Linked DNA regions of Mus musculus. The protein of the gene in region 3 interacts with the protein of the main gene of each other region in a biochemical or structural test. Links are inferred from orthologs where the notes say so. Each region holds a gene or a part of one and is shown on either strand. Other genes may lie near its edges.

Region 1 (3,500 bases), on a different chromosome or scaffold from region 3:
CACTCTTTTCTTGCCCACTTAGCTCCTGGAGGCATCAGTTGTTGCCTCTGTTTCTTTCAGCTAGGTGGAGACTCAAGTTGTCCTATTCTTCCTGCCAGAAAGACCAAAACCAATGCAAACTTGTTGGCTGTTTCTTCTGAGTTCTCTTAGTAGTTCAGTGAAGTGGAGTTGTCCACATGAACGAAATTATTTGCATGCTTGGTTTAGGACTGTGTATCAGGTTGCTCTCCATATGATGGAAATGCAGCAAAATTTCTCAGGATCAGTCAAATGTGTGGCCTCACCCTCATAATCCCAGCCCTTTCAAGATTGAAACAGGAGGATTCCCATGAGTTTGAGGACAGCCTGAGCTATATCCTGAGTTCAGCCTGGAGTACAGAATAAGACTCCCTCCTCCTCGGGCTGGAGAGTTGGCTTAATGGTTAAGAGCACCGACTGCTCTTCCAGAGGCCCTGAGTTCAATTCCCAGCAAACACATGGTGGCTCACAACCATCTGTAATGGGATTGGATGCCCTCTTCTGGCATGTGTGAAGACAGCAACAGTGTACTCACATACATAAAATAAATAAATAAATAAATATTTTAAATAAAAGACCTTCGTTCCCTCTCTTTAAAAAGGCAAGGGAGCTAGCTTTGCTGGTAAAGTGCCTATAGAATTGAAAAAAAACAAAACAAAACAAAACAAAAAACAGAACACCAAGTTCAGATCTCTAGTACCAATATAAAAGCCAGTATAACAATGCATATCTGTAATCCCAGCACTAGGGCACTGGGGAGAGACAGGCAGATCCCTGGAGCTTATTGGCCAGCCTGGCCCAATCAGTGAGCTCTAGGTTCAGTGACGCTGTCTCTAGAGACAAAGTAGAGAGTCATTAAAAAAGACACCTGACATCAACCTCTGGCCTCTATATGCACACACCATACATGTGCATATGCAACTCCATGCTGATGGGCAGAAACTATGTCTTTAACTAAGGTCAAGGATGCAGTCTCACATATCTATTGTACTATAGGCAGCTCGAAACTGTTTGGTAAACGATCAAGGAGTTGTGAAAGTATCTGACTTTGGCCTGTCTAGGTGAGTGTGCCTTTTTCATCTCCCCAGTTTTTATTTATTTTGGCAAAGGGGTTGTGCTATGTGGTCCATGCTGGCCTAACTCATGAGTACTGTTATCTTGCCTTGGCTATCCACGACTGGGATTCCAGGCACGAGACATCACCCCAGCTTTACCCTTGCCTTCATTGCTGGATGTCTCTTTTCCTTTCCTCTTTTTCCTCTGTACCCTTCCCCCCTCTCCATTCTTCTTCTATTTCCCCAGTATCTTATCTTGATCTGCTAAACCCACTGACTTTCCCCCATTACTCCTTCCTTGGTCTAACCTTTATTGGCTCCTGCAGGCTGCAAGAAAGTGGGGAAGAGCCAAAACTGATGGCCCAGGCCTGGAATCCCATCAACTCTAGAGGCTCAAACAGTACCATGATTGAAAATTCAAGACCAGCCTAGGCAATTTAGCGAGACACTGTCTCGATTGTTCCTCAAAAGTACAAAAAATGTTAGAAGTATTTATCATCAGTAGCCTAGCGTGTGCAAGGCCCTAGGTTCAACCACGTAGAAGGTAAATACTTTTCTAAACAGAAAGAAAACAGAGGTTTTGTTAAAAGTAACATTTGTAAAAGGCATTGACTAGCCAGCAGAGACTTTGAGAAAGTAAGTGTGCAGTTGGACAGCCCTTATGGTGTGTGCTGAGAAGACGGGCACACATCAAGCCATCTAAATCTTAATGGTAACAAGTCTTGAATCGCTTGCAGGTATGTCCTTGATGATGAGTACACCAGCTCTGTAGGCTCCAAGTTTCCAGTCCGGTGGTCTCCACCAGAAGTGCTTATGTATAGCAAGTTCAGCAGCAAATCTGACATCTGGGCTTTTGGTAAGTAGATAAGAACATACAGGTGAGGATGCCAATATGGCTTAGTGGGTAAACTGCTTCTCATGCAGCGCTGGCAACCCCAGTTCAATCCTCAGAACCCACAGAAAAGCTGGAATCAATGGAGAAGAATACAGGCATCTGTAATCTCACTATGCCCCCACCAGCAGATAGGAGGTAGAGACCAGTGAATCAAAAGTCGTGGACCTGCTAGCCTGTAGAATGTACCAGAAAAACAGCAAGGCAGACCGTTGTCTCAAACAAGGTGAAAGGTGAAGAGCAACACTTGAGGCTGTTGTCATCTCACTTCCACTGTATGCTGTGGTGCAAGTGCTGGAGCACACACGCGCACACACATGCGCACGCACGCATGCACGCGCACACATGCACAGTGGGGTGGAGGGAGAGGAGAAGAGAGAATATAGCTCAAAGAAGAACATACAGGAAAGTTTAAACTTGTATTCCTCTTGTCATTCATCTGATCCTTGGGTGTTTCTTATGTGTCAGGGACCACAGGGGTTTGTGGGGACAAACACAACCAACTGGACATAATCTCTATCTTCTTAGAAATTACAATCTACCCCCAGGAAACAAAACGTTCATTCTTCAACAGCTTCTGAATACTGATTATGTACTAGGCACTCTGTCAGAGCCTGAAGCTACCAAGACAAACAAGACACAGTCTGTCTCTTCTACGGTAACTAATAATGGGCTAGCGTAGTGCAGCTCTGCTAGCCGTCGGGACAGCCAGGACCGTGGCAGGAGCCTGGACAAATGCAAAAGCCATAGAGGGGAGAAACCAGCATATTCTAATCTTTTTTTTTTTTTTTTTTTTTTTGGTTTTTTCGAGACAGGGTTTCTCTGTATAGCCCTGGCTGTCCTGGAACTCACTCTGTAGACCAGGCTGGCCTCGAACTCAGAAATCCGCCTGCCTCTGCCTCCCCGAGTGCTGGGACTAAAGGCGTGCGCCACCACGCCCGGCTTCAGCATATTCTAATCTTAATGGTTCATCGAGAAGGATTAGGCCCCAAGGATCCCAAGAAAGCTGAGTGTACGTCCCCTTTATATCTCCTAGGGGTTTTAATGTGGGAGATCTACTCCCTGGGGAAGATGCCGTATGAGAGATTTACTAACAGTGAGACAGCAGAACACATTGCTCAAGGCTTACGTCTCTACAGGCCTCATCTGGCATCAGAGAGGGTATATACCATCATGTACAGCTGCTGGCACGAGGTAAGGTTCCCTCTTACACTATTCCCTTGAACTCAGTTTCATATTGAGCTGCCCAGGCCCTGCTCCCCACGGCCACATGTCAGCTGGGCACTGCCTTACAGCTAGCTACACATGCTTTCTCATTCTGGGCTGCACCCCAATCCTCTGATGGCCTTTTCATACCCACCCTGATGAAGTTGTAGTATTTTGGAAATACGGATCATGTTTTACTATTCTAAAAATGCTTTTCTGGGGCTGGGAAATGTAGCTTAATTGTAGGGTAGAGTGCTTACCTAGCATCAAGTACGCCTTTGTTTGGCCTCCAGCACTTCCTAAGCCAGATGTGTGGTGCAGGTGTCTGA
Region 2 (7,053 bases), on a different chromosome or scaffold from region 3:
TGAATCTGCACTGTTCCCTCTTCGGTTTCAGCTGTTTTCTGCTGCCTATTGGTGGTGAAACAAAAAAACAAGAAACAAATGGAAGATGTGAGACATTCACTGACCTCGTAACATGGTTCCCAAACTCACTGGCATCCACAACAGATGTTAGGCTAGGTTAGACCATGACAGTATTACTGCTGGCTCATGGTGGCACATTCCTTTAAACCTGGCACTCAGGAGACAGGCAGGTGGATCTCTGTGAGTTTGAAGCCAGCCTGGTCTACAGAGTGAGCTCCAGGGCAGCCAGGACTACGATATACCCAGGACTATGTAAATATTATTTTGTCTCAAAAAAATAAAACAAAATAAATTTAAAAAGTAATAACTAAGTATCTACCATGTACATAGACACCAAGCTATAAGCACTTTTTTTGTTTGTTGGTTGGTTGGTTTTATTTTGTTTTTCAAGAAAGTGTTAGGGCTGGCGAGATGGCTCAGTGGTTAAGAGCGCTGACTGCTCTTCCAAAGGTCCCGAGTTCAAATGCCATCAAACATATGGTGGCTCACAACTATCTGTAACGAAATCTGATGCCCTCTTCTGAAGTGTCTGAAGACAGCTACAGTGTACTTACATATAATAAACAAGCAAACAAACAAAACAAAAAAAGGACCATTTCTACATCTTAAAAAAAAAAGAAGAAGAAAGAAAGAGTTTTTTTCTGGGTAGCTCTGGCAGTCCTGGAACTTGTTGTGTGGAGCAGGCTAACCTTGGATTCAGAGATAAGACTGCCTCTGCCTCCTGAGTGCTGAGATTAAAGGCATCCACCCCACCCCCCACCCCAGCACACCATCTTGATGCTAATAACAGTGACTAGCACCACAGTTTTATAGATAGAGAAACTAAATCACAGAGCTGGTAAGTGTTGGAGCTGGGTACCTGAACCCAGATCTCCCGAATCCAATGTTCTTAGTCATTCTGCATTAATTCTGCATTCTCCAGGCCATCCCTCCTCTGCCCAGACATCCCTCTTCACTTACCCCTTCATCTCTCTGTGAGGGGGCTCATCCGAGGCGCCGGTCTTTTTTCGGAGGACTTTGTATCTCCCAACTCAAAGGCCTGAATGCTAAGTCCTGGTGGAAACCACAGAGTTTGCAGTGAGGCCAGGCAACTGAACAGCTTTCCAGGTTCTAGAACCTAGGTTCCAAGAAGACACAGCCAGGAAGATAAACCAAGCATCCGCAAAGGACAGTCAACTCCCCCAATTCTGATGGCAAGGGCTAGTCTGCAGTGACTGAAGAAGCAACTCTTCACGGGACATGGAGGCTCACTCCTGGGAGCCTAACACTCAGGGGAAGGAGACAGGAACGGTGCGAGTTTGAGGAGAAAAAGGACCAAGTGTGCTTGCTCATGCCCGTAATACCAATACTTAGGAGTTCAAGGCCATCCTGGGGTGCAAAGCTAGTGTCACGCTAGGCTGGGCTACAAGAACTTGTCTCAAAATAAAATAAAACAAAACTGGGAGATTGGCTCAAACAGCACTCGCAATGGAAGTCTCACTCGGAATGAAGGTAACACCCGAGTCCTAAAACCTATAGAAGAGAGGAATGCAGCATTGAGAGCATGTGTAATCACAGGGCGCCTGATGGAGAGCTGGAGATGAGAGAATCTCTACAAGCGGGGCGCCAGCCACTGTCTCCAGCAACGTGGAAAGACAACAACTGACCCCCTACGGCTCTCCTCTGACCAAAAGAAAAGCTAGGAGGGCTCAGCAGGCAGGGCGTGGTGGCAATGCCTGATTCAAGCACTTGGGAGCCAGGCACGTGGATCTCTGAGTTCAAGGCCAGCCATGGCTACAGAGTTCCAGGATGACCAGGGCAACCTAGAGAATCCATATCTCAAAAAACAAAACAAAAAAAACAACCTCCTCCCCTCAAAGAGGCAAAAACTAACTTGTGAAAGCTGTTTATCACAGCGTCCAGCCCACCACACACATGCATGTGCACACACACACACCAAAACTTTTCTCTCTTCCTTCCTTCCCCCCCAACCCCGCTTCTCTCTTTCTGAGACAGGGTTTCTCTTGTAGCCCTGGCCGTCCTGGAACTCACTCTGTAGGCCAGGCTGGCCTCTGAACTCTCAGAGATCCTGCCTGCTTCTGCCTATCTAGTGCTAGGATTAAAGGCATGGGTCGCCACCACCCAGCTGCTCCTCCATTTTCATTCCAACTCCTGGGGGGAGGAGTAGACTGTGAAACAATGTCTGGGGTGCATGGCTGAGGCTATTGTGGATTGTTACTAAAGCTATTATACTCTATGTCAGCAGCTTCACAGGAAAAGCTAGAGCAAAGTTTAGACCACCACTATCAAAACCAGTAACTAATAACCCCCCCACCCACACACTCCCTCACACACTCCCTGATTCTTCTTCCAGCTTCTCCAACACAAACTGTACGAAAAGAAATCTGAAGCTGGGAGGTGGTGATGCCAGCCTTTGATCCCAGCACTAAGAAGGCAGAGGCAGGCAGATCTCTGAGTTCAATGCCAGCTTGGTCTACAGAGTGAGTTCCAGGACAGCCAAGGTTATGTATAGAGAGGTCCTGTTTCAAAATCAAATAAGAATAACAAAAAACAAATTCCAGTCCTCAAATCTAAGAAGAGGAAAACTGAAACCTTTTTTGCTATTGGGAAACCATCACTAAGCATAAAACCCAGGTTTGGCTCTTGGATACTACTCCGCTGTCGGGGCTCTTGTTTTGAGAGAGTCCAGATTTACAGCATCTGTTACAAACACCAGTGCCCAAGTGCATCATGTTCAAGGCTTCTTTATTTTATCCAGCAAGGCTTCCTGTAGAGCAACATAGTTGCTAAAATGTTGCCATGACAACTCCAAATCAACTAAGCCTCAGGAGGAGGGGGGGAAAGAAAACCTCCAGGCTCAGGGTTCTGCAGGAGAAAAGACAAAGGGGGAGGAATCCATCTACAATGTTCCTGCCTTAGGACTTTTGACAACCAGCCAGAGAACGGGAAAAAACAAAGAACTGTACAGACAGATGCCACCAGAAAGAAACAGCTGCATAGGACAAAGCAATAAAATAATCTCAACAAGAAAGGACAAGATTTTTTTTAAACACTCTACCCGCAAGATCTTCCAAACCTTTCTAATCAAAGAAAAACCTTAGTTTAGCGGATAATGCGCCTCGGAAAGACCGTGTGCAAAGAAGAACGTTAACAACAATAACAAAAGGGAACTGAAAGTGAAACTGTCCGTAGAAAGTAAGGCTGCAAAGGGAGGCAGCGTCCGGATGTACGGACCACCTAGGGGGTCTCCATCCTCAAACAGGAGGAAGAGCTCCTCCTGAAGCTCCTGGCACGGCCTGCAGGAGGAGGCTATGAAAGAGACTGCAAGGCGCACGAGACAACCGTATAGCCAACAGCTGTCAGCGCAACTTCTGAGGCTACCCAGAAACGGCGGTAGGCTCCTTACTCAAACCTTGGTTGTATATCCGGAAGCATCCTGAGCATTAATAATACGTGATACGGAAATCAGCCTAGGATTTTGTGGTTTTGCATGCTCAAAAGGAGAGCCCAGCAAACGTCCTCACCAAGCACAGACGCAAAGGCAGAAATTTAAAAAACAAAACACCCCCCACCACCACCCACACACAAAAACCAGATCAAGTTCCCAAAGACTTCAAGCGCCCGGACCTTGCCCGAGAACGACGCGTCTCCCTGCAGGCCCACCGACTAGTAGTAGGCGCTTGGGGACCTGAGTACCCGGCAGGCGCGAGCCCCGCAGCCCGCGCGGTGACCCCGCCGGTCCCAGCCCAGCTCGCCTGCGCCCCAGCTGCTCCGCGGAGGAGAGACGGGGAAAGGACGCCGGGGACCTTCCCGGGCCTGCGGCTCGAAGCTGGATACCCACCGCAGGCGGCTGGGACGTGTGCACACCGGGGCGGGGAGCGAGCTCGGCCCACAAAGCAGGAGAGAAAGAGCCGGGCACGGCCCCCTCCCCCAAAACAAAGGCTCCGTGCCCAGGCGTGGCCTGGCCTGGGAAACGCCAGCCAAAGCAAAGGTGCCCCGCCATGCCGATCCACCGGCGTCCGGACTCCGGCCGGCTCCGACGCACTCACCGGGCCAGGCCGCTTCAGTCGCCGATTTCCCCCGGCAGCCTTCTCCGTCTTTGGATCTAGGTCTCTCCATAGACAGCTGCTCATGCGCAGTCCCAGCCTGCGGCCATGTTGGTGAGGGGCGGAAGTGTGCCCTCGACCCGCCCAGCCGACGGACGGCCCCCCGAGCTGCCACACTTCCGCTCGCTTCAAATCTGATGCCCGCTAGAGCGGATGTGGGTACGTGAGTGGTCGCAGGCTCTGAAGGGAAACAGACGGTATCCTTGGGGACCTCGCTAGAGGCCTTTGTTTTCAGTAAGAACCAGGAAAAAAAAAACCCGACTAAATTGTACTTCCATCCTTGTGGTAGGCGGAGCCCTTTTACTTCCAGTAAAAGGAAGTAGAGGGTGGAACGGCAATCTTAGGCGCCATCTTTCATAAGGGCAATGTGGGACGCCATCTTGGATCAGGGCATCACTTTGAGGGGGTTCCAAGTGGACTTTGGGACATTTCTGAGTGTACGTGGATCTGGGTATATACCTTTGTATTAACGTCAGCAATACTCCAAAGACCTCATAGCTTTTCCTCAGGCTCTTAAATACGTGTGGGGACGAGTTTGATTACCATTTTCTTCATTCTGGGTGTACCCAGAGTGATTTTGGAATAGTGAAGTATAATAGCAATAGCTAGAATTCAGATTCTGAAGCCATTCAGACTCTGAACTGACACTTTTTTTTTTTTTTTTTTTTTTTTGCGATAGGGTATTTCTATGTAGTCCTACATAAACTATGCTGGACTCGAATACACATAGATCTCTCCACTCCCAAGTGCTAGGATTAAAGACAGCCACCACACCTAGAAACTAACACTTCTTAACTCTGAGGTTTTTGATGGGCATTTTTACTTAACTACAGCTCAATTTCTTTGTAAAACGGAAATACCAATACCAACTTCACATCAAGTGGATTAAATAAATTCAAGAGCAAAGTTTTTATGCACACAAATCTGGCCCAATTCCTGGCATTAGATGAACATTATGTAAATACAGGTTTCTCTTCCTCATTTCTTGACCACCATGAACCCAGTTCTACTTTCTAGCTACAGTTTCCCATGACAACTGAGGAAGAATATCTAAATAAGAAAAAACAAGATATATACATTTTGGCAACTTTGGAATGTGATACCATTCACCCAAAACTTTAATAAGACAAAGTACATACACTGTTTAAATGTTAAAAAAAAAATTCAGCTTTTATTATCAAATACCCACCATTGCTAAATGGTGGCCTGTAGCCCCAGCCTGTGCAGAGACAGTGCTAGAGCCAAATTGAGTGACATTCCCTCTACTTTTCTTTTCCTTTTTCTTTTCTTTCTTTATTTATTTTATGTATATGAATGAGTACACCATTGCTCTCTTCAGACTCACCCGTAGAAGGCATCAAATTCCGTTACAGATGGTTGTGAGCCATCATGTGATTGCTAGGAATTGAACTCAGGACCTCTGGAAGAACAGTAGGTGCTCTTAACCTCTGAGCTATCTCTTCAGCCCAACATTCCCTTTTCCTAAAATGGGAGGACCTCTTCTGCAAAATAATTGAAGGTAGAGGATGCCACCCATTTCCTTCAGCAAACACTGAGGACTTTAAAGAGCTTCTTGGATGTTTCTCCTACTCTGAAACTAAAGAGGGTCAGAAGACAGCCAAAAATCTAGGAACAAATCAGGGGTGAGCTATTCTATATCTGGTCCTATATCTCCCACATCTACAGTAGGCTTCTGTGAAGAGATATTCACAGCTCAGAATAGGGCAAAAGTTTGGCTGAAATTCCCCCACTGTATTTAAATTTAAGAAAAAAAAAAGCTTTTACCTACCCTATGTTTTTGTTAACTCCCTGGAAACAAGATTGTTCTATGTTTCTTAAGACTCTGCTAAGACATAAGTGGCTTTGTGTCTAACACAAACATAAGTAAATCCACCAAGTCTGTACCTCTCATGGTCAAAACAAGAAGCTGGAGGACCCAAGCCTATGGAATTAGACATCTCAGCTGCCGAGGCAGCAAAGACAGCTAGGCAAGTGCTCCAGAGATTGGTGATGATTTCTTGGTTCCTCTTGTCCTGTCCTAATCATACCCCTTCATCTTTCCCATGATTAGTCTGTGTTTCAAAAGCATATGTCTGGCGCTGAGGGGCCACAAGAGGGACAACAGGGTGAAGCTCTCTAGGGGGCAGACTAAGCCGACTCCTGGGCTCAGACCCCTCTGTGCCTTCAGGTGGGCGTTCCAAACAGCTAAGGGGCCGGGAAGAATGGGCAAGGATCATGCTACAAGGAGGGGTTCTGGAGCTGAGACTATAATCCCCACCTCCAGTACAGGTCTGGGTCCGCAGAACTCCCTGAGACTCGGTCCTCTGGCGTTCCCGGGCCAGGGCCACAGCAGCATCAAAAGAAAGACTGCCCCCATTCCTCCAGGAAGCTCGAGAACCCCAAGCTTTTTCTCCAGGAGTCCCATCAAGCCTACCAGGCCTTGGACATGGGCTTGCAGGTGCTACATGGATCTTGCTACACATTGCACTGGGCATCTTGGCAAACTGTGGTTTGGGGGGCACTACAGGGACAGAGCGGACCTGTCGGACCTGAACTAGGGTGGAAGCCAGACGCATGCCCACACCACCAGCTGACCCACAGGGACAAGAATACAGGTCACATGTCTCAGGATTAAGCTGTCCCTCAGCCTCCATGCCCTCTGGTTCAGATGGCTGTAGCGGGGCTTGTTTCATCTCAGAGGTCTGTTCATTGATTTCTTCTGTACTGTCAACCCTCAGTAACTCGACACCTGGCCCTTCAGAGAGGGCCCCCTCTTCTAAGTGGTCACCAACACCTCTCATGACTTCAGTTTCTACGTCTATACTTTTTTGTTCCTTGCTGAAAACCCCTTCCTTCCTATCATCACCCTCTTCTGGACTTCCACTGT
Region 3 (4,982 bases):
TCCAGGCAAAACACCCATATGCATAAAGAAATCTTACAAAAGTAAAATCGTTTTTAGCTGGGCCACAGCAAGTACACCACACCTGGCTTAGAAATTCTTCCCAGAAGACATGTGAGTTAGATGTTAAGTGTGCTCCCTGCTTTTCTCCCGTCTTTTAGATGACGATAATGAACGACTGTCCAAAGTTGAAAAGGCCAGGCAGCTGCGGGAGCAGGTCAACGACCTCTTCAGTCGGAAGTTTGGTAAGTTTGTAAGAATAGAGGATACTAAGGAAACAGGGCCAGTCGCTGCTCGGCTCTGTGTCTCCGCTTGTTTTGAAGATGAAGGGTCACACTGGCCCTGTGCTGTTTGTCTCGCTGCAGGTGAAGCTATTGGGATGGGCTTCCCGGTGAAGGTCCCCTACAGGAAGATCACCATCAACCCTGGCTGCGTGGTGGTCGATGGCATGCCCCCCGGGGTGTCCTTCAAAGCCCCCAGTTACCTGGAGATCAGCTCCATGAGGAGGATCTTAGACTCTGCGGAGTTTATCAAGTTCACTGTCATTAGGTGAGACGCTATCGCTTAGTCAGTAGGACAAGGCTGGAGGCCTCACGGCTAGGTCATATCCCAGAGTGCTGTTGTGTGGAGTCTGAACTGAAGCGTGTGGGCAGAGAGCAGGCAGAGACAGGTGGATCTCAGGGAGTTCCAGGATATCCAGAACTACACAGAGAAACCCCCACACCCCAAAAACATAGGTAACATTACATTGGCATGTGTACTATACATAGCACATACTACATGTGACTAATTACAAATAACTGATACATACATTGTGTATGATATGCATTAATAACAGAACAGGAGTCATTGTTACACAGTGTTACAGTCATTTCATGGACATCTTGTATGTCTCCTCCACAGGATAGGCCATACGTGGCATAGATTAGCAAGTTAGGCAAATGTTCATGTAAAACAAAAGCCTTACATTATACAATTTGTTTTTCTCTTTAGACCATTTCCAGGACTTGTGATTAATAACCGTGAGTACAGCTTTCTTTTGTTTGTTTGGTTTCTGGGGATCTGGGAGTGCATGTGAGTGTGTCTGTGGGTGTTGGGTGTGGTGGGGCCTGCAGGATAACACCATTTGTCACCCATTATGTCACCCGTTCTCAGCACCCTGCCTGCTTGTGAAATTAGCATTGCTTGTCTCTTAGTGAGGAAATGGTGACTCGGGTGGGCTGAGACCGTTTTAAAGGGCTCACTATAGGCCGGACTTGGAAAGCTGCTGCCATTGCAGCTCTGTTACCCTGACTCCATACACTAGAGCTCAGGGGACTGTAGGCCCCTAAACAGCATCAAAGTGCCAGGCACAGGGAGGGAAACGAGCAGTTCCAGTGCTTGGGAGGCGGAAGCAGGAGGATCAGGCTGATCAGCACTGTCTGCTGTAGACAGTCTAAGGCCAGCCTGGGCCACAAGCGACCCTATCCCCAAAAAGAAAGGGAGGGAGAGAGGGCTGGTGATGGACACCCAGCAAGCTGACTTCTGTCCCGGGGCTCACGTAATGATGGAAGGTGAGAACCGAGTCCAGAGTTGTCCCCTGGCCTTCAGGTGCACACCGTGGCACGCGTGCTCACACAGACTTCACACACTCTGTAATTAATTCTTTTGTTGAATTTTCCTTGCAAATTTCAGTTCATCTGTCTTTTTGAAAATTCAGGTCACTGTGGGTGACCATAGAGATCACTGTGGGTGGCCTAGAACTCAAAGACATTCCCCTGCCTCTGCCTCCTAAGTCCCACATTAAAGATGTGCCACCATGGCCAGCACTCCTGTTCTGTGTATAGTTTTCATTTCTGAAGAATATTATGTCCAAGCCCCTGCTTGTAGGTTCCTGTCTCTGTTGCTGAGTTTTATTCTTGTCCTTGTGCAGGACTCTGGTTCCCGTGTGTGCTGACCACTGAAAGCCATGGTTCTGGTGGCATCTAGCCAGGACCACTGCTGTCCCTTCCTTTGGTGTTCGTCTTTACCCTTTCTTAGCATGCGGGGTCCTGGGGTCCTCGGATCATTTCATGGTCAGTGGTTACAAGACAGCTTGTCTCCTCGGTTCTCTCCTTCCGTCGTATGGGGCCCAGTGACTGAACTGTCTGTCAGGTTCGCAGGCAGGCAGGCACCTTTACCTGCTAAGCCTGTCTGTCGTCCGCATGGTTGGATGTCACGTGTGTTAGTAAGCCGTCTAAACTGTGCCTTTCATTGCAGAGCTGGTTGATCAGAACGAGTCTGAAGGCCCTGTGATACAAGGTGAGAGGAGAGCGTGGGGTACATACTACTTACATGGTTGCCCCAAGCCCGTGGCTCCTGCTGTACCTGCTTATAGTCACTGCATACACTTAGCTTTGCAGAGACTTGAGCCGTGGGTCCCGAGTGGCAGTTGTAAGCCACAGACCTTGTAAACCCACGATCCCAGGTTATTCATGATATCTTGGTGCTCATGACCAGGGAGAAGTCTGCCTGTAAGTGTGTGCTTATGCGGGGTGTGCACATGCGTATGTGGAGGGCAGCAGCTGACGGGCTTGCACTAGAAAGATGGCTCATTGGTCCTGATCTTCCAGAGGACCCTGATTCGAGTCCCAGCACCCACGTAGCAGCCTTTTAGTTAAGTTAAACTGTCGTTTAACTCCGTCTCCAGGGCCTCCTAAGGCTCCAGACATGTGCACAGTACAGACACACATGCAGACAAAATAACCAAATAATTACAATAAAAAAGAAGTTGGCAGGCTGTTACTATCATTGGGTGTTCTCCTTCCTCTTCCTCCTCCTCTGCTTCAAGGCTCTTTAAATAATAACTTTTGAAAGCCATTCAATGACACTTGATATGTTTCTCTTTAGAATCAGCCGAGGCAAGCCAGTTGGAAGTCCCAGTAACAGAAGGTAAGAGCTGCGCTGTTGCCAGCGAACAGACTTAGTGACCGACACCTTGGGACAGTGTGACTGTGCTCACGGTGATGCTCTGTGTCTTTGTTCTTAGTGAGTTGATTGGAATTTTTTTTTTTAATATGTATGAGTGTTTTGCCTACTTATATGTGTATATAGTACCCAAGCCAGAAGAGGGCATCAGACCCCCAGAAATAAGAGTTACAGATGGTTGTGAACCTCTATGTGGGTGCTGAGAATTGAACTCATATTGGTCCTATGGAAGAGCAGCCAGTGCTCTTACTGCTGAGCCACCTCTCCAGCCCTAAATTGATAAGATTTCTACCATGAACACTGTCCAGTGAAGAAGGCAGACTTCCTCTCTGTTCTCCCCGTGTGGCTCTGACTAAACTCTAGATCCCTATAGCTTAGACAAGGCATGATGGTAAATACACCCAAAACAATATGGAATCTGTTACTTGGGAATCAGGCATGAGCTGGACATGGCTCAATAGAAGAACACTTGGCAGGCATTTGTAAGGCCCAGATCCCGTAACAAGAGCACTTTATGCAGAAGCCACATGGAACGGCTTCGTGCAGATCTTAGCAGGTTCATATGGCTAGTCTTACTGGCAAGCAGGTTTGCACCAGTGGTACAGCTCATTGTTACCCCTTTGTTTCTTCTGTAGAAATTAAAGAGACAGATGGGAGTTCACAGATCAAGCAGGAGCCAGACCCCACGTGGTAGACCGTGGCTCTCCAGGGTAAGAGCCTCGCTCTAGCTGCCCTTCATCCATGCCCACTTATAAGCTGATGTGCAGACACATCCCTTCTGCTCTGGCTGTGAGATGAGGCCACCCTCAGGGGACATAAGGCCCAAAGGTTTTTCTCACTCAAAGATGTAGCCAAGATGAGTGAGGTGGCAGAGATAGGTGGGTCTCTTGTAAGTTCCAGGCCAGCCAGGCTCCGTGGTGAGACCCTGTCTGTCTTGGGGTGGGGTAGGGTAATACAGAGGTAGTATTCCTTAAAGGGACATGTTTGTTTTGAGTCTGTATGCCAAGGTTGCCTCCTCTCTGGCTGACCTCTTTAGGCCGGTCACAAGCCCAGCCCCATCAGTTGCTGACTTGCCACCAAGAGGTGGGCTGCAGTGACCCGCAAGTGAGGAGACTGCAGTCTGCTGTGATGGGCTTTGCCTGGCAGCCTTGGTGATGTGCCTGACCGTGTCAGATCACAGGCTTAGGCCTTGCCGTCTTTCACAAGTGCACTTGGGCCTGCATGTCTGTCAGATGGAACAGGGTGTGTGACAGGAGGTTGTCATGCCCCTGCCATCTGACTCACCCACTGCCTGCGTGTTTGTTCTCTCTGCAGTTCGTCCAGTGTCCAGCGTGCGTGGTGGAGAAGAGCTTTGGGACCCGTTCCTGCCAGCTCTGTAATATACTTGTATAACAGAAATACCTTCTATACAAACCTTCTTTTCTACTTTTAGATAGAAATGTCTACTTTCTCAGCAGTTCTGTGAATTGAGCTACACAGCGTGATGAGATGCGCGTGCCTGGTGGCTTGGGAACGCACTAGAAGGGTCTTGCAGCAGTGCTGAAAGAGGCGGGAATGGCAGGGACGACTCGTAGGGTTTCTTATGCATCGGGCAGAGCCTTGGGCTGTGGTGCGTGTTCCCGTCAGTGAGATATTCCTACAGGGCATCTTGGCTTCCGCAGCAAAGGAAGTCCCTGTGCTAGTCAGTGCTTTAGTTTTTCTATTGAAGACCAGTTCCGTGGTCTTGCACTCGGCTGCCCCTCCTGCCAGGGGAGGGCTGCTGTCTGTGTGTGTGACTAAGCCTCTTCCCAAGCTCCATCACGATTCCTTTGTCCTCACTGCCATTCAGAGCAAAGCCGGCCAGCTCGCCTGACCGCCAGTGAGCAGCCAGTGCATCCGTGCAGTGCAGCTGGAGAGGCTAGCCTCAGAGCCTCGCTCCGGTTACTTTACAGCAAGTAGATTTCTGGGTGTGTCCTAAAGGTCAGAGGTCAGGTCTGCATGCTTGAGCAGGTGGAGGATTTGCCCCTCCCCAACTGGGACCCACAGTGGCCTCAGGGGCT
Region 4 (6,268 bases), on a different chromosome or scaffold from region 3:
ACAGGGTCCAATGAGTTTGAGAGTTACTGTTCTGACTGCTAAATGAAGAAAGGGTTGGTGTGGGAGTTGGGGTCAGGGTGGGTAGTGGGCAGCCAGTTAGGAAGCCAATCACATTATTTGGGCAGGGCATGTGTTGATGGAGAGAAGTACGAGGTATGAAGGTATGTCCTGAAGCTTAGAACAGACATTCTGGTGGCGACACCGATGGGAGTAGTTGGGTAGCAGGCCAGGTGTGGCGGAGAGTAGTAAGCAAGGCCGTGAGGGTGTGCTTTATTTTAAAATGTTCACTGAGACACAACACAGTAAAGTACGCTAGTATTTTTATTTGTTCATTTGTGTGTTTGTGTGTGTGTGTGTGTGTGTGTGTGTGTGTGTGTGTGTGTGTGTGTGTGTAGCATATAGCTCAGAGCCAGGTGGGGACAGGGTGACTAGCACACTCAGTAAAAGTGCTTGCTATACAGAATGAAGACTTGAGTTTGATCCCAGAACTCATGTAAAAACACTAGGCCCGGTGGCACCCATTTATGATCTGTAATCCCAGCCCTGGTGAAGCAGAGACCAGAAGATTCATAGGGCTTGGTAGCCAGCCAGCTTAGCCTACTTGGCAAGTGCCAGGTTAAAAAAAAAAAGGTGGCTAGTATCTTTAGGCCAACACATGAAAATGTCTTCTAGCCCTTGTATACATGTGTGAACATACATGCACACATCCTCAGACACACATGCACTGGCACACATGTGAAGACAAACCCGTTTATACAAGTAGTCACACACAAAGAATGCAACTTTGAGTTATACTACACAATATGACAGAGAAATATTGTTGGTCAAGTCTTTGTACAATATTTCCAGTCATGTCTGGGGTCACATGTCTTAGATTTACCTAGTCCTCTTGTTTCTAACAGGGAATGTGTTGAATATGTCAAGAGTTTCAATATCCCTCTCCTGGTACTGGGAGGTGGTGGCTACACTGTCCGAAATGTTGCCCGGTGTTGGTGAGTGTTCTGTTCTACTACTCTGTGGTTCACGACAGACTCCCTAAAATTGGAGGGGTGGTCCTTTCAGCCCACGCCATCAACCCAAACCCCTCTGCTTGCTGGTTTCAGGACATATGAAACATCTCTGCTGGTAGAAGAGGCCATTAGTGAGGAACTTCCCTATAGTGGTAAGATCCACTTCATGATGCCACCACAGGGGGACACCATTCTCACCAGTCCTCAGAATGACCTTGTTTGGAGGGAAATTGCACCTTCTGGTAGCTCTGCAGACTAAATCCCTGTGCTCAGAGCAGAGCAAATACTCTTACACATGGGGACCAGGCCTCGGAGAGGAGATCAGAAAGCCATGGGATTCACTCTGGTGTCTCAGCCATACTCTTGTTCATCCCCTCTCCCAATTGCTTCTCATCTCTAAGAATACTTCGAGTACTTTGCCCCAGATTTCACACTCCATCCAGATGTCAGCACCCGCATCGAGAATCAGAACTCACGCCAGGTTAGCAGCTTGGAGAGGCTGGACACAGCAATGGGGGGGGGGGTTCAGGAGAGGTCCAGGAGGGGGGAAGTGGAGAGAGCAAGAGAAAGAATTTCTGGGCTGTCACTGTCGATCTTATCGTGGGGTTGTTGGGGAGGGACAGTTGCCAACTGAGGATCTGACCTTGAAATACTACCTTAGATCAGGACGGTCAGGGACGAAGGTGGGTAGGATTTCCTGTACTATAGGAATCACCCCAACACCGCTGACTTTCTTTCTTCTAAACTAGTATCTGGACCAGATCCGCCAGACAATCTTTGAAAACTTGAAGATGCTGAACCATGCACCCAGTGTCCAGATTCATGATGTCCCGGCAGACCTCCTGACGTATGACAGGACTGACGAGGCCGACGCTGAAGAGAGAGGTCCCGAGGAGAACTACAGCAGGTCTGGGGCAGGGGCTGGAGGGCAGGTGCTTCCTTAGGCTTGCAGAGAAGGCTTCCAAGTGAGAAGGCACAAGTTCATCTGGCCCTGGCTGGTTTCCTTTAGACTGCGAGCCTTCTACTCTTTTTGACACTTTTAAGAACAAAACAACAATAATATGAAAATATTATAAACATCAAAATATGTTGTGTTCACGTAGTTCCAGAATTATTCCATGGAAGTAGCTGTTATTTATGGCTTGATTTATGTATTATTTGAATAGATAATTTTCTATAGATTATAAGAATACTACATGCACATGTGCATATCCAGAATTTTATTTATACAGCTTTTTTTTTTCTTGATTTGTTGCTGGTTTTTTTTTGGGGGGGGGGGTGACACATGGTTTCCTCTGTGTGGACCAAGCTGGTCTTTAAATCAGATACCCTCCTGCCTCGGGTTTCTAAATGCTGGGATTATAGGCATGGACTGCTTGCTCTACCCAGCTTGTTTATACATTTTTTTGTTAATCCGTGGGAGGATATTTTCTATATGTTGTTTGGAGTTACACTTGCCTGTGTCAGTGTGTGTAGATCAGTGTTTTCTCAGTTGTATAATTCCATTGTGTGGTGGTCACATGATTGCGAGGGTAATCAGTTACCACTTGTGGATATTTACCCCACTGCACCGTCCCCTCCCTTTCTTTTGTGGCTACAAAAATAGTGAAGACTGGCACTGAATCCCTCTATGTATGTATGTCTCTATGTATGTTTCTCTGTATGCTTGTTTGAGTGGGTCCAGTTTTCATAGCTGTTGCCATTAGGGCAAATGAGATATGCATGCAGTAGAACTTTTCATATTTGCTGCCAAATTATTTTCCAGAAAGAACTTAGTGGTTTACTTACATCTTTTTTTTTTTAAATAAAAAATCTTTTGTTTATTTTTAGATTCATTTATTTTATGTGCATGGTGTTTAACTTTGCATGTATTTATGTACATCATTATGTACTTGATAGGGTGTCAGATCTCCTGGAACTGGAGTCAAGGATGGTTGTGAGCTGCTCTTTGGATACTGGAAAGAGATCCCAGGTCCTCTGCTATGGCAGCAAGTGTACCTAACTGCTGAGCTGTCTCTCCATTTGCCAGCATTTTACTCTGTCCTGAGCAGTGAACCAGTAGACCACTGCCTACATTCTCTTTTATAGGGTCTCTACATTTGTTTAGTTCACTTTTCCAGATTTCTGAGCTGTATTGAGTGAGGTGTATGTGTGTGTGTGTGTGTAAATAATCTTTATCTTTCTTGGATCTATGTTGAAATATTTATAGCTAGAATGAAATAAGGACTGATTAGTATAGATCTTTTTGTTGTTAATCCTTGAAGAAATTTCTAGAAAATGATGAGAAAGGACAACAGAACCCAAAAGAGTCAAAAGAAATCAAGATGGAAAGAGATATATTTAGTAGGGACCAGATACATTTACAAGACTGAGACCACTCGAGTTGCTGTGAGCTTCTGTGCATGAGGTTGGAGCTGGCTCTGCTGCTGCTGTGGGTGACTTCTCAGTTCCTCCAGAGTCTATTCTGGGTCATAGAATTCTGGCCTCCATTTCTGTCCTCTGGACTTGGTCTTAATCCTTGGGACCTTCCAGTCCCCCTCTTTCATGGATACCTCCCCATTCCCTGGCGTGGGTGAGGAAGTATCTAAATATCTGGTTCAGGCTCTATCTAATCATCTTTTCTTTAGCAGTTGTCTACAAGCCTCTAAAACCTGACTTCTAGAAACTGATTGCCATTGTCTTAGTTGGTTCAGCAACACCTGTTTTTAAGTTCTCCTTTTGTCTGGGTTTGGCTTTTTCTTCTATAGTTGTGTGTTCACATCTGGCTCTACTCTCTGCATAACCCAAGAGATGGGTCTTATCCTCAGATGACGAGAGGAAGAACCCAGGGCTCAGAGAGAGCAAGTAACTTTCTTAGGTTCTGTAGTTACCCTGAGAGACCGACTTCTCACTTTTTACCCTGGGCTCTTAGAGGTGATAGAGATGGCCTTGTTTGCCTGCCTTAGTCTCTTGCTCCTCTTCTGTGACTTTATAATGGCCTGTTTTAGAAAAGGTTTTCAAAGAGATGGAAACCAGTATTGAGTACTTTCTGAGCCCTGTGTTGCTGTCACTTCCCTCCCCTGGTAGTTTAATGACATGTCAGTCTTCCACTTGTGCATCCCTTCCTGCCAGTCTTCTACTCATACCTCATGTTGGTCTTCTGCTCATACCTTCCGGCCAGTCTTGCAGCCTTTCCTTTCTGTGATGGTTTGTATATGCTCGGCCCAAGGAGTGGCACTATTAGAAGGTGTGGCCCTGTTGGAGTAGGTGTGTCACTGGGTGTGGGCTATAAGACCCTCATTCTAGCTTCCTGGAAGTCAGTATTCTGCTAGCAGCCTTCAGATGAAGAAGTAGAAGGCTCCTACTCGGTTCCTCCTGCACCATGCCTGCCTGGATGCTGCCATGTTCCCACCTTGATGATAATGGACTGAATCTCTGAACCTGTAAGCCAGCCCCAGTTAAATGTTGTCCTCATAAGAGTTGCCTTGGTCATGGTGTCTGTTCACAGCGGTAAAACCCTAACTAAGACACTCTTCCCTGCATCAGTCTCAGCTTACACCTTTCCTTCTCCTCGTACTTAGAAGCAACAGTTTGAACATGCCCTGCATACAGATCTGCATACAGACTCGTCTTCTGAGACTACTTTTGTCTGCCCACATGCATCCCAGCATTGCTGGCCTCCTTGTCATTCTCGAATGGCTCAGTTTCCTTGGACCTTGTGACTTCTGTACTTGGTTTTCTTGGGGCTTGGTGGGACTTTCCTGAGATCTTTGCCTGGCCAGCCTCTTCACAGAATTTAGGTCTTTCATTGTCAGAACGGTCTCTCATTTTGTAGGTCCATTGTTACCCTCTTGTTCACACCAGACTCAGTTTTCTCATGTAGAACACTCCACCATTTGAAGTTATTGTATTCATTCATGAGCTTTGTTATTGCTGGTCTCATGATGTAAGCTTTGAGAGATTGTATGGAAATCTAGTCTAGCTGATTCTCTGCTGTTTTGGTAAGGCCTACGGCAGTGCCTGGCACACAGGAGTCTCCATTTATTGAGTACATGGATTGCAGTAAGTCCCTGCCAGCAAGAGGAGAGGAACTGGCTTTGGAGAAGACTCCCATAGAAAAGTGGCTCTGAGGAGGGTGCTGGGAGGAGTCTGGAACTTGAAGAGTGGGTTTCTAATCTCTTGTTCCTTGTTTTACAGGCCAGAAGCACCCAATGAGTTCTATGATGGCGACCATGACAACGACAAGGAAAGTGATGTGGAGATTTAGAGCAGCATGGATGCTGTGTCCCCAAGAGTTCCTTGTCACCTCTGTGGTGGGAAGGAAAGTATGGTTTCCCCAGGTCTGAACTGGGTACCCCCAGGGTGTTTACTAACTCTGGTGAAGGGTTTGGAAACCATATGTGGTTCTAGAATTAACTCCCCTTTCCCTCAAACTCTCACGGCCTGATGATTGTCCCTCTCAGGGATGAGACATGGACAGGTCTCTGGAACGTTATGGGTAATGAGCCCCAGCAACTGTCCTCAGCCCCTCTTCCCCTCATTTGTTCCTTCTGTCCTTCCAACACAGAGACTGTTAGAGATGAAAGTTTGGACGGTACTAAAGTCACCTCTGACTTCCTTCTGGGTTCCCCTACTACAGTTCTTGCTTCCATGCAAGGTGAACCTGAGGGGAGGAAGGCGTGGCTCTCTGAAACCTTAACTGCAGATGAAGTACAGTGGCAAGGAGGAGAGGGTGTGAAGCTCTAACTGGCTTTATGTCCATTTTACTGTTTTGGATCTAATAAACCAATTGGTTTTTTTTTTTTTTTTGTACCTTTCTGGGATTTTAATTCTTGCTAGTTACCGATGTATGATGTGAAAAGGAAACAGATGATGATGTGTATAATAAAATTGTTACCATTCACTCAGTACTTTATTAGTTAGGCCATGTGTGTATTCACCATGGATTAGTTTCCTCAAATGGGGAATTAATGGGACATTTCTGCTGAAGAGTTAGATTACTGACCTGAGAAGGGTAAAGATGTCTTCAGGTATGTGAGCATGGGTGTTTGAGATGAGGATGTTAGCTGGTAAAGATGTCCTGAGATAAAACCCAGTAAGTGCTTGGCTCTGTTGGATGTAAGCAACTGCTCACAGACTGACTGAGGAACAAGCTGGATCCTGTGTGTACCATGCACAGACCCCTTCCTGGAGGAGTCTCCAGTCGGGCATGGTAACTGTGGGTGTTGTCAGTGGTACAAGAAAGGAGTGACAGGTAGCTCACTGTCTTTTCACTCAGC

The links.
Region 1: the proteins of Gtf2i (region 3) and Btk form a complex in vitro, tested with the Homo sapiens proteins (4 studies listed by BioGRID and IntAct, with this or other methods). The link is inferred for Mus musculus from reciprocal best matches to the Homo sapiens genes GTF2I and BTK.
Region 2: the proteins of Gtf2i (region 3) and Usf1 form a complex in vitro, tested with the Homo sapiens proteins (2 studies listed by BioGRID). The link is inferred for Mus musculus from reciprocal best matches to the Homo sapiens genes GTF2I and USF1.
Region 4: the proteins of Gtf2i (region 3) and Hdac3 form a complex in vitro, tested with the Homo sapiens proteins (2 studies listed by BioGRID). The link is inferred for Mus musculus from reciprocal best matches to the Homo sapiens genes GTF2I and HDAC3.

Annotation. Positions count from the first base shown.
Region 1 is NC_000086.7:134,545,141-134,548,640, reverse strand, and holds part of Btk (tyrosine-protein kinase BTK), read left to right. Parts: intron 1-1,014; coding exon 1,015-1,079; intron 1,080-1,810; coding exon 1,811-1,929; intron 1,930-3,001; coding exon 3,002-3,159; intron 3,160-3,500. UniProt on the Homo sapiens protein: Non-receptor tyrosine kinase indispensable for B lymphocyte development, differentiation and signaling. Binding of antigen to the B-cell antigen receptor (BCR) triggers signaling that ultimately leads to B-cell activation.
Region 2 is NC_000067.6:171,408,497-171,415,549, reverse strand, and holds the start of Usf1 (upstream stimulatory factor 1), read right to left. Parts: upstream 4,238-7,053; 5' UTR 4,110-4,237; intron 4,108-4,109; exon of another isoform or gene 3,688-4,107; intron 1,178-3,687; exon of another isoform or gene 1,114-1,177; 5' UTR 1,029-1,113; coding exon 1,021-1,028; intron 46-1,020; coding exon 1-45. Other genes in the region: Arhgap30 (rho GTPase-activating protein 30), read right to left, coding at 6,209-7,053.
Region 3 is NC_000071.6:134,238,168-134,243,149, reverse strand, and holds part of Gtf2i (general transcription factor II-I), read left to right. Parts: intron 1-158; coding exon 159-242; intron 243-362; coding exon 363-546; intron 547-990; coding exon 991-1,019; intron 1,020-2,235; coding exon 2,236-2,277; intron 2,278-2,865; coding exon 2,866-2,907; intron 2,908-3,578; coding exon 3,579-3,637; 3' UTR 3,638-3,653; intron 3,654-4,257; coding exon of another isoform or gene 4,258-4,322; 3' UTR 4,323-4,982. UniProt on the Homo sapiens protein: Interacts with the basal transcription machinery by coordinating the formation of a multiprotein complex at the C-FOS promoter, and linking specific signal responsive activator complexes.
Region 4 is NC_000084.6:37,936,602-37,942,869, reverse strand, and holds the end of Hdac3 (histone deacetylase 3), read left to right. Parts: intron 1-902; coding exon 903-992; intron 993-1,103; coding exon 1,104-1,162; intron 1,163-1,411; coding exon 1,412-1,491; intron 1,492-1,759; coding exon 1,760-1,917; intron 1,918-5,186; coding exon 5,187-5,256; 3' UTR 5,257-5,899; downstream 5,900-6,268. UniProt on the Homo sapiens protein: Histone deacetylase that catalyzes the deacetylation of lysine residues on the N-terminal part of the core histones (H2A, H2B, H3 and H4), and some other non-histone substrates.